Linked DNA regions of Oryctolagus cuniculus. The protein of the gene in region 1 interacts with the protein of each later gene in a biochemical or structural test. Links are inferred from orthologs where the notes say so. Each region holds a gene or a part of one and is shown on either strand. Other genes may lie near its edges.

The links.
Region 2: the proteins of SIAH1 (region 1) and SNCAIP form a complex in vitro, tested with the Homo sapiens proteins (2 studies listed by BioGRID, with this or other methods). The link is inferred for Oryctolagus cuniculus from reciprocal best matches to the Homo sapiens genes SIAH1 and SNCAIP.
Region 3: the proteins of SIAH1 (region 1) and SNCA form a complex in vitro, tested with the Homo sapiens proteins (3 studies listed by BioGRID, with this or other methods). The link is inferred for Oryctolagus cuniculus from reciprocal best matches to the Homo sapiens genes SIAH1 and SNCA.
Region 4: of the proteins of SIAH1 (region 1) and HIPK2, one has a biochemical effect on the other in vitro, tested with the Homo sapiens proteins (4 studies listed by BioGRID, with this or other methods). The link is inferred for Oryctolagus cuniculus from reciprocal best matches to the Homo sapiens genes SIAH1 and HIPK2.

What each region holds. Positions count from the first base shown.
Region 1 is NC_091449.1:32,098,051-32,101,568, forward strand, and holds the end of SIAH1 (E3 ubiquitin-protein ligase SIAH1), read right to left. Parts: intron 2,206-3,518; coding exon 1,355-2,205; 3' UTR 274-1,354; downstream 1-273. UniProt on the Homo sapiens protein: E3 ubiquitin-protein ligase that mediates ubiquitination and subsequent proteasomal degradation of target proteins.
Region 2 is NC_091437.1:12,130,589-12,134,106, forward strand, and holds part of SNCAIP (synphilin-1), read left to right. Parts: intron 1-2,750; coding exon 2,751-3,518. UniProt on the Homo sapiens protein: Isoform 2 inhibits the ubiquitin ligase activity of SIAH1 and inhibits proteasomal degradation of target proteins. Isoform 2 inhibits autoubiquitination and proteasomal degradation of SIAH1, and thereby increases cellular levels of SIAH.
Region 3 is NC_091439.1:75,768,324-75,771,841, reverse strand, and holds part of SNCA (alpha-synuclein), read right to left. Parts: intron 457-3,518; coding exon 314-456; intron 1-313. UniProt on the Homo sapiens protein: Neuronal protein that plays several roles in synaptic activity such as regulation of synaptic vesicle trafficking and subsequent neurotransmitter release.
Region 4 is NC_091434.1:184,453,266-184,456,783, forward strand, and holds part of HIPK2 (homeodomain-interacting protein kinase 2), read left to right. Parts: intron 1-1,688; coding exon 1,689-1,849; intron 1,850-2,436; coding exon 2,437-2,907; 3' UTR 2,908-3,518.

The DNA.
Region 1 (3,518 bases):
TCAACAATCAGCTATGAAATACTAAACGCACTTTTGTTCCCTAAAGGGGAGAAAGGGAGTATTTTAAGTGGTGGCTGTTCTTACGGAGGCACAAGAAGCAGGCAGCGTGCAGGGGAGGGTGAGAAAGTATGGCTGTGTCTGGAGGCCACGCGGCTGAGCGCCGGCTGCATCACGCTGCCTGCCTGAGGTGGGGCGGGGCAGGACGGCAGCGGGGCAGGGCGGCAGCGCGCCCGGGCCTTACCAATCTTACAGCTAAAGCAGACACATTAAGAGTTTTCCGTTTGCCAGATATTCTTTTAATGAGAATTATAAAAGACCAAAAACATATTTTTTGCAAACTGTCTTTTTTAAACAAATGATTTACTTTAATTACAAACACTGTATGTGACGATGCCTTCTTTTTGCAAAACCAATAAATACAAGAACAAATTTTGAACATGTGATCATGTGATTTGTCTACAATATTTGGAAAAGAAAAAAAAAAGCCTGATTTTCAGTATTTATATGAATCAGAATGCATTCCCTAACTTGTATATAGGACTCAAATGGAGACGAAGTAGTGAGTGCGAAAAGGAGAGAGAAGACCATCTCGTGGCTGCTTGGGTGGCTTCTGACGGGTTTCCCAATGTTCCCTTTCCTCTGGGAACGCCTGTCTTCACCAAGCAGCTGATGAAATGTGTCTGCTAAACTGACGAATGGGGAACGAGAACGTACCCCGAACACAAACTTCACCATAAACAGTTATCAGGGCAGGAAGACACTGACTTTAAAAGGTACCCAAAAAAGTGAGGAAAACCTGAATTACAGAAAAGAAAGTTTATTTAATGAAAAACTAGAATTAATAAAAATTAGCAAATATACACACACAAGGAAACACAGCAGCACTATGTATTGACTCACAAAGGGGAAAAAGCAGTGGTCCAAGACCACTCAGATGGCTTGTCAGTTAGGGAAACACACACACACACACACACACACACAGACACACGCAATAACAGAAGAAACAGAACAACAAAACAAAAACCAGTATTTTTCAACAATACAATCAATCTACAACAAACACAAAATTCAGAATTATTTTACAATGCTTCCTTTCTTAATACAAAAGATGCCCATCTTGGGTGTATATATATATATTTTTCAGTGGTTTACTGTTGACTTATTTTTAAATATATTAGTGTTACTACATGCAACTGTTTCCTGTATTTAACAGCCTTTCTTTTTATTTACCTTCATGTGTCTAGTTTCCACCTGCCCAAAGAGTTTCAGGTTGGCAGGCAGTCGGGTGCCTTGCTCTCTGTGAAACTGAATGCAACAGTTTTAAACACTGGCCAGAAAACTCTTGATTGCCATTTCAACACATGGAAATCGTTACATTGATGCCTAAGTTGCCATTTTCTGCGAAGAGCTGTGCGATGCTGGTGTCGAAGACTAGGCAGTCACTGTTCATGATGGCTGTCGCAATTCCCTCATGAATAGACCGAGGAGTCGCCTCCCAAGTCAATCGTCGCCTGTGCCCATTTAGCTCAAGTCGATAAGCAAAATTTTCAGCTTGCTTGCGTGTTCCTATCAGCTGTACAATTGCAAAGAACTGCTGGTGACCATCATATTTTTCCTGTTTCTCCAAGACTAACATGAAGTGAAAGCCGAAACAGGACTGCATCATCACCCAGTCAACAGCACCAGGAAGGTTAATGTCTGTAGCAAGGAAAACTATATCCTCTCCCTGAAGGGTTGTAATGGACTTGTGCTGATGCATCAGATGGGGCATTACAGCGTCCAGAGAGCCCTGCCATTTACAGGAAGCACCAGGGCACGGACAGGAGTACGGCCTAAACTCACACAGCTCTTCGTGGTCTGCTTTCTCTGTGTGTGGCAGAGTTATTTCACATCCAGACGAGGCATATTTACAAGGGAAAAGTACTGAATTGGCCACCTTCTCCATAGCCAAGTTGCGAATGGATCCCAGTGGGCCCCGGCAAGTTGGACAACATGTGAGCTTTGGGCGACAGTTGCTACAAACGAGATGGCCACTCTGACACTGAAGAATGGGTGGCAACACATAGTCAAAGCAGACCGGACACTCAAAAAGACTCGCCAAGTCATTGTTGGACGCGGTCGTGCCCGTCAGGGCAGGCACCCTCTGCGACGGCGGGCACTTCGAGGTACCAGTCGGTAATGCAGTAGCAGTCTGACGGCTCATTTCTGCAATAAAAAATAAATAAAAAGTAAAAGGAGGCAGGAGAAAAATTACAACTTTTTACTTACTATATCAGTAACTTTTACAAGCCAGAAATACTTTAAGCTTCATGCAAAATTTATTGTGAGCAAAAATAAAAAATAGAATTAAAAACAAAACATAAATGACACTAAATGTGCATTTTGATTATTAGCAGTTGTAAGTTATACACCATTTTCAAAATGTTCTAGAACATAATTAGACACCACCCCCCCTTTAAAAAACAGTGCTAAGAATTGTCTTTAATGGGAGTAAGAAATGCTGAAACAGAAAATGAGCCATAAGCAACCAGGAGACGCTGTGTGAGCAGCCTACATCCAATCAGAGCTGTTGTGACTGCCACTCCACCCCCTCTCTGATATTCCTCTATCTGTTTCTTTCTGATTCCGAGACAGCTGTGAACAGCTACATATGGGGAGAGTTACAGCAGGGCACTACAAAAATTTCATGGAAAATGTATTAAAAGGTAACATTATTTCAGTGCAAAAGATGTTGAAATCCTTGTATACAATGAATCTTCAAAATGCTCATGGAGGGGCCAGCAGTGCTGTGGCTTAGCAGGTGAAGCCGCCGCCTGCAATGCCAGCATCCCATATGGGCACTGGTTTGAGTCCTGGCTGCTCTTCTTCTATCCAGCTCTCTGCTATGGCGTGGGAAAGCAGTAGAAGATGGCAAAAGTCCTTGGGCCCCTGCATCCACGTGAGAGACCTGGAGGAGGCTCCTGTCTCCTGGCTTCAGATCAGCACAGCTCCGGCCATTGCAGCCAATTGCAGAGTGAACCAGCAGATGGTAGACCTCTCTCTGACTCTCCGTTTCTCTCTGCGCAACTCTTTCAAATAAATAAATCTTTAAAAAAAAAAAAATGCTCATGGAAATGTGTTGAGAAAAAAACTACACAGATTTCAAAAAACGTGTGCCAATATATACTTATCTTTTAATTTCATTTTCCAGGAACATTTTTTAAGTACCCTTGTGTAGTTCAAATGCCATGGGATCATCTGCACTGACATTAACTCTTTCTAACGGTGAATAGTATCTGCTCTGGAGGTTTATTTTGGGGACAGAAGAAGGGGGCCAAGGAGAAACACCTGCTACCATCCTATTAACTAAGTCTTCTCCCAAACCATTATCCACTAGGTTATCAGCGCCCACCTCAAGAATGAGGGGGAAAAAATGGAAGATCATCCTCAAAAGTTTTGATTCTGCAGTCCAGAGAAAAGTACGTCATTCTGTTCTTCCATTCCACAATACAGATCAGATATAATGCACAAAGGGAAGG
Region 2 (3,518 bases), on another chromosome or scaffold:
GGGGAAGCAGTAGAAAATGCCCCAAGTCCTTGGGCCCCTGCACCTTCATAGGAGTCCTGGAAGAAGCCCTTGGCTCCTGGCTTTGGATCGGCACAGCTCCAGCCGTTGCGGCCATCTGGGGAGTGAACCAGCGGATGGAAGACCTCTCTCTCTCTCTCTCTCTCTCTGCCTGTCCTCTCTCTGTGTAACTCTGACTTTCAAATAAATAAATAAATCTTTAAAAAAAAAAAAAAAAGATTGAAAGTGCCATGCTAAGTGAGATTGAAACTCGCATTCTAGCATTTGTTGATTGCTCTGTGCCAGGCACTGTGTGAATCAGAGTCGACAGGAGGGAAGAGGAGTGTGACCTGCCACCATCCACATGCCTGCTACCTTCCGAAGCATTCCCGTACACGTTGCTTACTGGAGGGAACGAGCCCTCACTGCACAGGTCACAGTAGCCCCTTTCTAAACTCTGAAAGGCCTTGGTGGTGGCCCCCATAGTGCAGACCCTCTGGAACCCCAGGCCAAAGTTAGTCCCTCTGGGAGAAAGAACTCATTGAGAATTACATAGCATTCAGGTCCACAGCCGACGACCCCAGCTTGATTCCAGAACGTCTCTGAATCCCAAGCACACATCCTAGCAGGAAGGAGAGTGACCAGCCGCCTAAATTTAGGGGACTTTAATAAGGTGCACTTTCAACCCAAGAGTCACTCGTGGCCTGGGCCTGTTGCAGAAGTTGTAGACCTGAGTACATACATACCCTTGGTGTGTTCTCTTCTTTCTGTGAGCCCCCATAGCAAAGAACACACAAGTACACGTGTGTTGGTGAACATGTCCCACCTGCTGCTGCACCACAGAGGGGAGAGGGACCAGAGGGCCCACTGGAGGCCATGCTCTGAAATCCAGCCCGGTGGTGGGGAATGGAGCAAAGGAAGTAGCAGGGAGTAGAAGCCCATAAAGTAGGGTCCTGGGTCAGAGGAGTGGCCCAGAGAGGCAGTGCTGTCATCGTGGCTGTGGGGGCTGCGTCTGCCGGCCCGGAGGAGGTGCCGGGGCTGGGGGCCCTCTCCTGTGACACCAACTGGGAGAGTGGTGATTCTTTCTCTTCCACGTGTGTCTGACTGTCTCACTTCCCTCTCCATCTCAAGCAAACAACACTTGATCTTTATCTAAACTTTGCAGAGAAAGAAGCAGCACACAATGCTGCCTGCCCCATCCCCCCTTCCCCAGTGTGTTCTCCTGGTGTTTCCGGCTTTCCCAGCAGTGCAGGGCAGCATTAAATCTTAAAGAGGATGCCTTTAGTGCATTGTGTTGCTGAGCCATGCGCCGAAACGAAATGAAACAAAAACCCCTGCGTGGTGGCTGACCAGGGTGCCTAGACAAGGATGGCTGTGTGGATGAGTGTGCAACCTCTCTTTTCTCCCTAAATCAGTGTGGATTAATACAGAGAATCCTACCTCTACTCCTGTTTTCCAAAGTGGTAGCACATGATGAAATCCTGCCCGAAATATAGATCCTAAATGTATGTCTGCTTTTACCGTTATTACTACTACTAATTAAATTTTTTAAGATTTATTTATTTTGCTGGCACTGCAGCTCAATAGGCTAATCCTCTGCCTGTGGCTCCAGCACACCGGATTCTATTCCTGGTCAGGGCGCCGGATTCTGTCCCGGTTGCCCCTCTTCCAGGCCAGCTCTCTGCTGTGGCCAGGGAGTGCAGTGGAGGATGGCCCAAGTGCTTGGGCCGTGTACCCCATGGGAGACCAGGATAAGCACCTGGCTCCTGGCTTCGGATCAGCGTGGTGCGCCGGCCGCAGCGCGCCAGCTGCAGTGGCCATTGGAGGGTGAACCAATGGTAAAGGAAGACCTTTCTCTCTGTCTCTCTCTCTCACTGTCCACTCTGCCTGTCAAAGAAAAAAAAATTTATTTTAATTGAAAGTCAGGGTTACACAGAAAGAGGAGAGGCAGAGAGGCAGGAGTGGGGGGAGGTCTTCCATTAAATGGTTCACTCCCCAATTGGCCGCAGTGGCCGGAGCTGTGCTGATCCATAGCCAGGAGCCAGGAGTCTCCTCCCGGTCTCCCACGTGGGTGCAGGGGCCCAAGGACTTGGGCCATCTTCTACTGCTTTCCCAGGCCATAGCAGAGAGCTGGATCAAAAGTGGAGCAGCCAGGTCTTGAACCAGCGCCCATATGGGATGCCGTCACTTCAGGCTAGGGCGTTAATCCGCTGCGCCACAGCGCCAGCCCCACTACTAATTAAATTTTAAAGATTAATTTGTTTGAAAAGCAGAACGATAGAGAAATCTTCCATCTGCTGTTTGCTCCCCAAATGCCCGCAACTGCCAAGGCTGGACCAAAGCTGCCATTCAAGAACTCCATCCAGGTCACCTGTGTGAGCCACAGGGACTCCCATACTTGAACCATTATCTACTGTCCCTCAGGCCTCCCAGCAGGACCCTGGATCAGAAGCAGAGAGGCTGGGGGCGGAACCAGGCATCCAATATGGGGTGCAGGCATCCTGAGCAGCGGCTGAAGCTGCCGTGCCACACGTGCCCACTCCTACTTTGAGTCACCAATGTCAGAACTTTCTCCTGCCTTTAGCAGTCATCCAGTGCCAAGGATGAATTGTTGGAAGTATGTGCTCTCAAAGCCAGGCCCCTACACAGGGGCTGAACTTGAACCTCCCTTGAGTAGAGGTTCTGCATGCATGGTCAAGGTGTGTTTGGCATTCCAGTTTAATGGTGTCCCCTTTTAACCTTTCCATGAACAGTTTCCGGCTCTGGCTGGAATTGTGGCGTCTCAACTCTTATTACCAACACACAGAAGCCCACGGGGATCGCCGATGTATATAGCAAGTTCCGCCCGGTGAAACGGGTTTCCCCACTGAAACACCAGCCGGAGACCCTGGACAGCAATGAAAGCGATGATCAAAAGAACCAGAAGGGGGACCTCCAGAAAGGGGGTGATTCTGATGCAGGCCCCCAGCCTGAGGAGCTGGGCCCCGAAGAGGGAGTCGGGGGCCTGCCTGGGAAGGGCTCGGAGCCCAGCCCGGCGCTGGGCGAGCTGGAGCACTATGACCTCGACATGGATGAGATCCTGGATGTGCCTTACATCAAGTCCAACCAACAGCTTGCCTGTTTCAGCAAGGTGGCTTCAGACAAAAGGATTTTGGGTTTATGCACGACCATCAACGGCCTCGCCACCGGCAAAGCCTGCTGTGCAGGAGGTGCCGAGAACCCACCACCCACCACAACGCCCTTCTGTGTCCTGTCTCCCGTGAAAAGCCCTCACCTGAGAAAAGCATCCACCGCCATCCGCGATCAGCACAAGCTGGGCCCGGAAGAATCCGAGAGCGCGCCCGCTCTGGTTTCTTGTGTCTCCGCGTATGAGCCTGAGACCCAGAGCAGAGACTTCCCAAACAAGGCCTTCGCAGAACCACATGGCGGAAAGGTCGAGAAGGCACTGCCCGACTGCCAGCTCCGGGCCTTCCGCCTGCCGTGCTCGGCCGCAGAAGCCACGCTGGAGGAGCAGGTCAACA
Region 3 (3,518 bases), on another chromosome or scaffold:
CAAGATGCACAGTTAACATAAAGCATCCATTCTTTGTGAAATGTCATTGTTCCTTTTGGCATTTACCACATCGCTCATTTCATTAGTGCTCTTCCAGAAACTGAAACAGTCGTGATGACTGTACAATTTGCATGGCATTTCTCGGTGTTCATACCCTAAATACAAGCTCCATATGAAAGAAGTACTTTTTTCTGAGGAGAATCAGGCAGTACTCCCCCCACGGCAGTCATCTTGTTTCTGAGTTTCGCCTCCTTTGAGAATGAGCCATGATCTTGCGATAGTTTAAATATAACATCAAACTCACACAACATACCTTGCCTTGCTGGTCTTTTTTGACGAAGCCGGTGGCGGCTGCAATGCTCCCCGCTCCTTCCACTGTCTTCTGGGCGACTGCTGTCACACCTGTCACCACTGCCTCTCCAACATTTGTCACTTGCTCTTTGGTCTTCTCAGCCACTGGGGTGAATGAAAAGCAATAGCAGATTAAAGACAGCAGCAACTTTATAAAATTCTACTTCCACTAACAGTCAACTTCCATTCAGCCTGTATTTTTTTCTTTTTTTTTTTTAAGATTTTTTTTTTATTTGACAGATAGAGTTAGACAGTGAAGGAGAGAGACAGAGAGAAAGGTCTTCCTTCTGTTGGTTCACCCCCTAAATGGCTGCTGCACCGATTCAAAGTTAGGAGCCAGGTGCTTCTTCCTGGTCTCCCATGTGGGTGCAGAGGCCCAAGCACCTGGGTCATCCTCCACTGCCCTCCCGGGCCACAGCAGAGAGCTGGACTGGAAGAGGAGCAACCAGGACTAGAAACCGGCACCCATCTGGGATGCCAGCGCCACAGGCGGAGTATTAACCAAGTGAGCCATAGTGTAAGCCCCAGTTCAGCCTGTATTTACACAGGCTTTAGGCAATTGAAGGATCACAGGAAATAGTAGCTACCAAGATTTCTAAGTGAGAGGGATTACTCAAAATCTGCATCTTCACTGACATCTTGTTATAATCACACAGACTTTAGAAGGTGCCTCCTCTTTAATGATCACAAGTGTAGGCCCACAAGCAGCTTGGGTTTGACTTATTTTTAGGAAAGTTGCAGAAAGTAGCACTTCCAAAGTCAGATATAGTGGAATCAGACTCAGCAAGAAATTTATTTCTTTATTTCAATTTCAGGGCCGATTCTTCTATCTCAATCAGCAAGTTCATTTTCAGCAGATTGCTGAGCAACATGACACATTCTACCTACAGGTTGAGCATCCCTAATCTGAAAATTCAAAATTCTCCAAAATCTGAAACATTTGGAGTGCTAACATGATGGCACAAGGGGAAAATTCCACACCATGAGACTTTGTTTCATGTACAAAATTATTTAAAACACTGTATAAAATAGCCTCCAGGCCAGTCATATACGGTATATGTGATACTCAAATCATGTGTATAGACTTGGGTCTCATTCCCAAAATATCTTATTTGGTATATGCAAATATACCATAATTCCCCCCACCGAAACAAAAGAAATCCAAGATCCAAAACACTTCCAAACCTAACTATTTTAGATAAGGGAGACTCCAACTGTTTTTGTGCTCATACATGTTACTATCAAAATGCACAATGGCAGAGGAATGGTTAAGAAGGAATTCTGAACCTTTTATAAAATTTCAGTTTGTGAAACAGAAAGGTTCTTAATTATAAGATTGTCAGTAATTTTAATGGGAACAAAGCATCTAGATTTTAAGTTAATATGAAAATTAAGAGGCTTATTGAACATATAATTCACTTCCATAAAACAAAATATGATATAATAATTCAGTATATTTCTAAAACCAATTAAAAATTTAGAGAAGATGGTGTAAATAATGTAAATTTATAATCTAGAGATTTAATTTCTTATCAAAAACTCCCAAAGACATCCTAGAAATGTACCTGCTTGTGGAATCAAGTTTTCTATATTATTTCAATATAATTATATAAAGAAAGCCCAAATAAAATTTTAATTTCAATTAACTAAAAAGTTGTATGCAACCAAATATAAAAGATTCTATGCTGTTAATAATTCAATACAGGGGGCCGCAGCACATGGTGCAGTGGGTTAATCCTCTGCCTGCGGCACCGGCATCCCATATGGGCACCAGTTCTAGTCCCCGCTGCTTCTCTTCCAATCCAGCTCTCTGCTATGTCCTGGGAGAGCAGTGGAGGATGGCCCAAGTGCTTGGGCCCCTGCACCTGCATGGGAGACCAAGAAGAAGCAGTGCAGCTCCGGCCATTGCGGCCAGTTGGAGAGTGAACCAACGGAGGGAAGACCTTTCTCTCTGTCTCTTCCTCTCACTGTTTGTAACTCTACCTCTCAAATAAATAAATAAATAAAAATAATAATTCAATACAGAAATAAAACCATCCATTTCCATCCAACCTGCTATAACATCCATCCATGCCATGAAGCCTTTGGTCCTGCATCTCTTATTTGTCTACAGAATCTCTGCCCTCTTTCCTTCTGCTCCCACAAACTCATTCCTGTTCTGCTTTTTCCCCCAACATTCAGGAATTTGGGGTTTTGAGGGATTCATTCATTAGGCACTCCATTAAGAATAAAGCCATATTTTCATGTTTCACCATCCTTATATCCTCCTGGTGAGCCTCTCTCTGAGAAACATCTCCAAATGCTACTCGCGTGATCCTTTTCAGATCTTACACCACTAGTTTGGGGCGTCAATAATTAAACAGTGGCACAAGGCAATTTGTTTTCAAGTAGAGTGTTTGGGTCAAGAAAGCAAGGGTGGTGAGTAAGGACTCTCATCCAGGCACTGTAGGGAAGGGTGAAGCAGCCACACAGTCTAAAATCAACGAACCCACAGCAGGTGTTGTTCTCAGTCTGCCTTTTGCCCAGAATTCTGCAGGTTTGCCTAGTGACGTTGTGCCACTGAACATACTAATGTCTCTGAAGGAGTAACAGCTATTTACAATTCAAAGTTCAATTTAAATGCCAGTGAAAAGCTGTACTGGAAAATTTATGTTTTTAAACATTTCTGGAGTGTTGATCTTTTAAAAATGGTGAATTATGTATTTCAAGTTGTCATTTTTTCCTTTTTTAAGAACATGAACAGAAAGTTTTGCTTGAAATGAACATTTTCTTGTTATAAATCTCCCAGTAAGAAAAAAACAGATTTTGGTTTTTTTACAAACTCATAGTTTCTCTGCCCTTCATGAATTTTACAAAATCTAGGCAATCCTTTAGATAGAAACTTTTATCTATTATTTTAATGCATCCAAACTATACAGTAAAGTGTATTTGTTATGTAATTGCAACTCATGAGGCTTTGTGGCTGTAATGATACATAATTTAGGTATATTATAAAATGACAGCATATACAGGCGGCAATAATAGACATATGTACTAAGATTTCTTTAGGACTGACTTTGCTAGTATGTTCCCTGTTGCCTGTGAGCCTCCTTTTTATACCTTTGAGAACTTTCAGACTGTTTCCCTTTTCCCTGCTCATCAACACTCCAAAGAGGGATAAAACAAAA
Region 4 (3,518 bases), on another chromosome or scaffold:
TCATTAATATTTAGCACCCGCTGCCCCTGGAATGGCCAGATCGCCAGTTTAGCGCTGACTGCCACGGGATACCTGCTGACACTGCTCTAGGCTTCTGTTTTCCTCCGAGACGCTCAGGCCCCGCGTCCACCGCTGTGAAATGTGACCTGTCTCGGGGTATTCTGCGACCCATCCTTGCCACTTCTCCTTGCGGGTCACTTTGCAGGGTCTTCTCTTGAATGCCTCCTTGGGCACCCTCCTCAAAAGCATGTGTCAGAGCTGGGGAGTGTGCAGCAGCTGTCTGTGCGTGGGGAGCGCCCCAGATCCCCTGTGCCCCATGACCGTGTGACCTCGACTTGGTTTCTCATCTGGCTGTGCTAGACACAGGTTCTCGAGAATATTGGGTTTCTAGAGATGCCTCCAAGGGGGCCAGCATTCTGCATCCCAAGTGCTGTGGTCCCACCTGTGCCCGCCCCATGGAGTCCCCGCTGCTGGGGGCCGGCAGGCACAGACCACTCAATGCCAGAACTGACCGACAAGAGTTATTTCACAGAAATGTCTGTGCCCTCTCGTTGTCATTCCACAAAAGGCCCGCAAAATCAAAACCCTAAGTTCCTGTGCAAAGACGCAGTCTCCCCTGTGTCGGCCTGGTGCTGTTGCTGCAGCTGTCCCGGTGGTTGGCCTCCGGTGCAGGGCTCTGGCCAGCCCTCTGGGTGCACTGATCTGAAATTTCACTCCAGACCCCCTCCTGTAGACAGGGCTCTGACCGGCCTGTGGCCGAAAGCCTGCGTGAGCATTGGCTGGTGCTGGCGGCAGACTGGGCGAGCAGCAGGCCACTCCACATCGGCCCACCTGACTCTTGGACACGTGACCCTGCCAGTGGGCAGTTAGCTCTGAACTCGGCGTGTGGTGGCCCATCAGCCCCCTGTCTGCATGACCTACGCTCCCTCATTCCCACCCTCAGCCTTCTCTCGGCCGCTCCTGAGACACGGCAGGACCTCAGGAAGTAGTTGTGGGATGGGTTAAAACAGCCTCTGAAGGGGCCTGGCAGGACCTCTAGGAGCCATCCTACCTGCAGTGTCACCCGGCTGCTCAGGGCCCACCCACCAGCAGTGTCAGCAGCACCCCAGGCGCCTGTTAGAGTGCAAGCTGTGGAGCCCCCTGCTGGCAAGGAGCCCCGCGTCTTTCCACCTGGGGCCTCTTGCGTGTAGCCCGGGAAGAGCCCTCGTGTTTGGCCATGCTCGGCCCTCATGCCTTTCCCCGCTGACTACGTCTCATCCAAGAGACCAGACCGGGGGCTCCGAGGGGCCGTTGCAGCCACTGTTGCTCACCTTGGTTGCTCCTAGGCACAGTCTGCAGTACCTGCACAAGGGCAATACCTGCCGAGGGCACTAACAGGAGTCCCTCCAGCCGCCTCCCAGATGCTGGAGGCCACGTGGCCAGGGAGGGCCAGCATCAGCCCCCCCCCCCCCCGGCTGTCATCTCTCTCTGCTTCTCCTGCACCTGTCCCCTCTTTCTTAGCTTTATCCCCTCATTTGCAGCCTTGGCCACCCTCTAGACCAAGGGCTAGACAGCTACAACCCAGCTGCCCACGCAGAGTGAAGGCCAAGTCCTAGCTGAGTCTGGGGAAGCTGAGGCCAGGGTTGGCCTGGCCAGTGTGGGCGTCCTGGAGAGCCCTGACCTGTGACCTCCTCTTCCTCCCGCCACAGCAAACACCAGTCACCACGCGTCCTCCTACAAGCCCAAGTCCTCCAGCAACGTGACCTCCACCAGCGGTCACTCTTCAGGGAGCTCCTCTGGAGCCATCGCCTACCGACAGCAGCGGCCAGGCCCCCACTTCCAGCAGCAGCAACCCCTCAATCTCAGCCAGGTGAGTCCCTGCCTGATGGCCGGCGGCCCCCACGGCAGACCCTCACACCCCACAGAGAGCGGCACGGGGCGGAGGCTGCCCCGGCAGGGTCGCTCGTGGGGAAGCTGACAGCACTGGTGCGTGGGTCGCACAGTGCTGCCTCACCGTGGCAAAGCACTCGTGACTTGGTGCCGAGCTTAGACTAGGAGCCCACAGAAGGCTGCCTCCCCCAGCAGAGGCAAGACACCAACCAGGGAGAGCCCTGCTGTGCACCTCACTGCGGGGCGGGGCGGGGTGGGGGGGGGACACACTCCAGAGACCCACCCAACCTAGGGCAGGAGAGTCCTAGCCTCAGCCATGTGTCCCAGCAGCTTAGCTTCTCCAGGTAGGAGACAGTTGATGGAACTGCCCATGGCAGCGTTTCCGAGGGCGCAGGCTTCCTGCCCGGGGACCCCAGCCGGTGAGGGGCAGGCCTGCTTGCTCCACCCAGTGCAGGCTCATCTTCACTCGCTCCATATCCCAAGGCCAGCACCCCTGTCCCTCCTCCACTCCCGGCCTCCCCCGTGTACCCCCTCACGCCGCCCTCTCTGGGTGCCTCTGCTCCGCAGGCTCAGCAGCACGTCACCACGGACCGCGCCGGGAGCCACCGACGGCAGCAGGCCTACATCGCTCCCACCATGGCTCAGGCACCCTACTCCTTCCCGCACAACAGCCCCAGCCATGGCACTGTCCACCCCCACCTGGCCGCCGCCGCAGCTGCCGCCCACCTGCCCGCCCAGCCCCACCTCTACACCTACACAGCGCCTGCTGCCCTGGGCTCCACCGGCACCGTGGCCCACCTGGTGGCCTCCCAAGGCTCGGCGCGCCACACCGTGCAGCACACTGCCTACCCGGCCAGCATCGTGCACCAGGTCCCCGTGAGCATGGGCCCCCGGGTCCTGCCCTCTCCTACCATCCACCCCAGCCAGTATCCAGCCCAGTTCACCCACCAGACCTACATCAGCGCCTCTCCAGCCTCCACCGTCTACACTGGATACCCACTTAGCCCTGCCAAGGTCAACCAGTACCCTTACATATAAGCACTGGAGGGTGGGGGAGGAGACGGCGGAGAGGGCGGGAGGAGGGGTGGGGGAGGAGACGGGGCCAGAGAGGGCGGGGAGGAGGGTGGCCAGAGCTCCTGGGACCGAGGAGGGAGCTGGCTTTTTATGCTGAAGACACCGCACACAAACAATGCAAATGGGAGGGGGCGGGGACTGGGACGGACGCAAAGGAAACTTGAACCAGGAAGTGAGGAGGACTTAGAGCAGAGAAGAGAACATTTTAAAAAGGAAGGGATCAAGGAGGGGGAAATCTATGCTTTTTATTTTAAAAAAGAAAAAAGAAAAAAAAATGTTGGCAACAAAAAAACACAGCTCATGCACCCACTCTGCACCAAACTGGAAAGGAGAAGAGAGCCACAGGAAGATCCCAGAGGGGCCCAGTGTGGGGAGAACTTTTATCTATGAACTTTTCAAAGATTATTTTCATACGACGGCAAGTGGCATTGAAGAACTTGCTGTCAGGGACACCTGCTGTGCAAATCCAATAGATTTTTAATTAACTGAACATACGAATTAGGGATTTTTCCAGAACTCTAAGAGTCGACACCCCCTCCAGAATGAGGAGGCTGACATTTCGGGGTTGGGCTGGG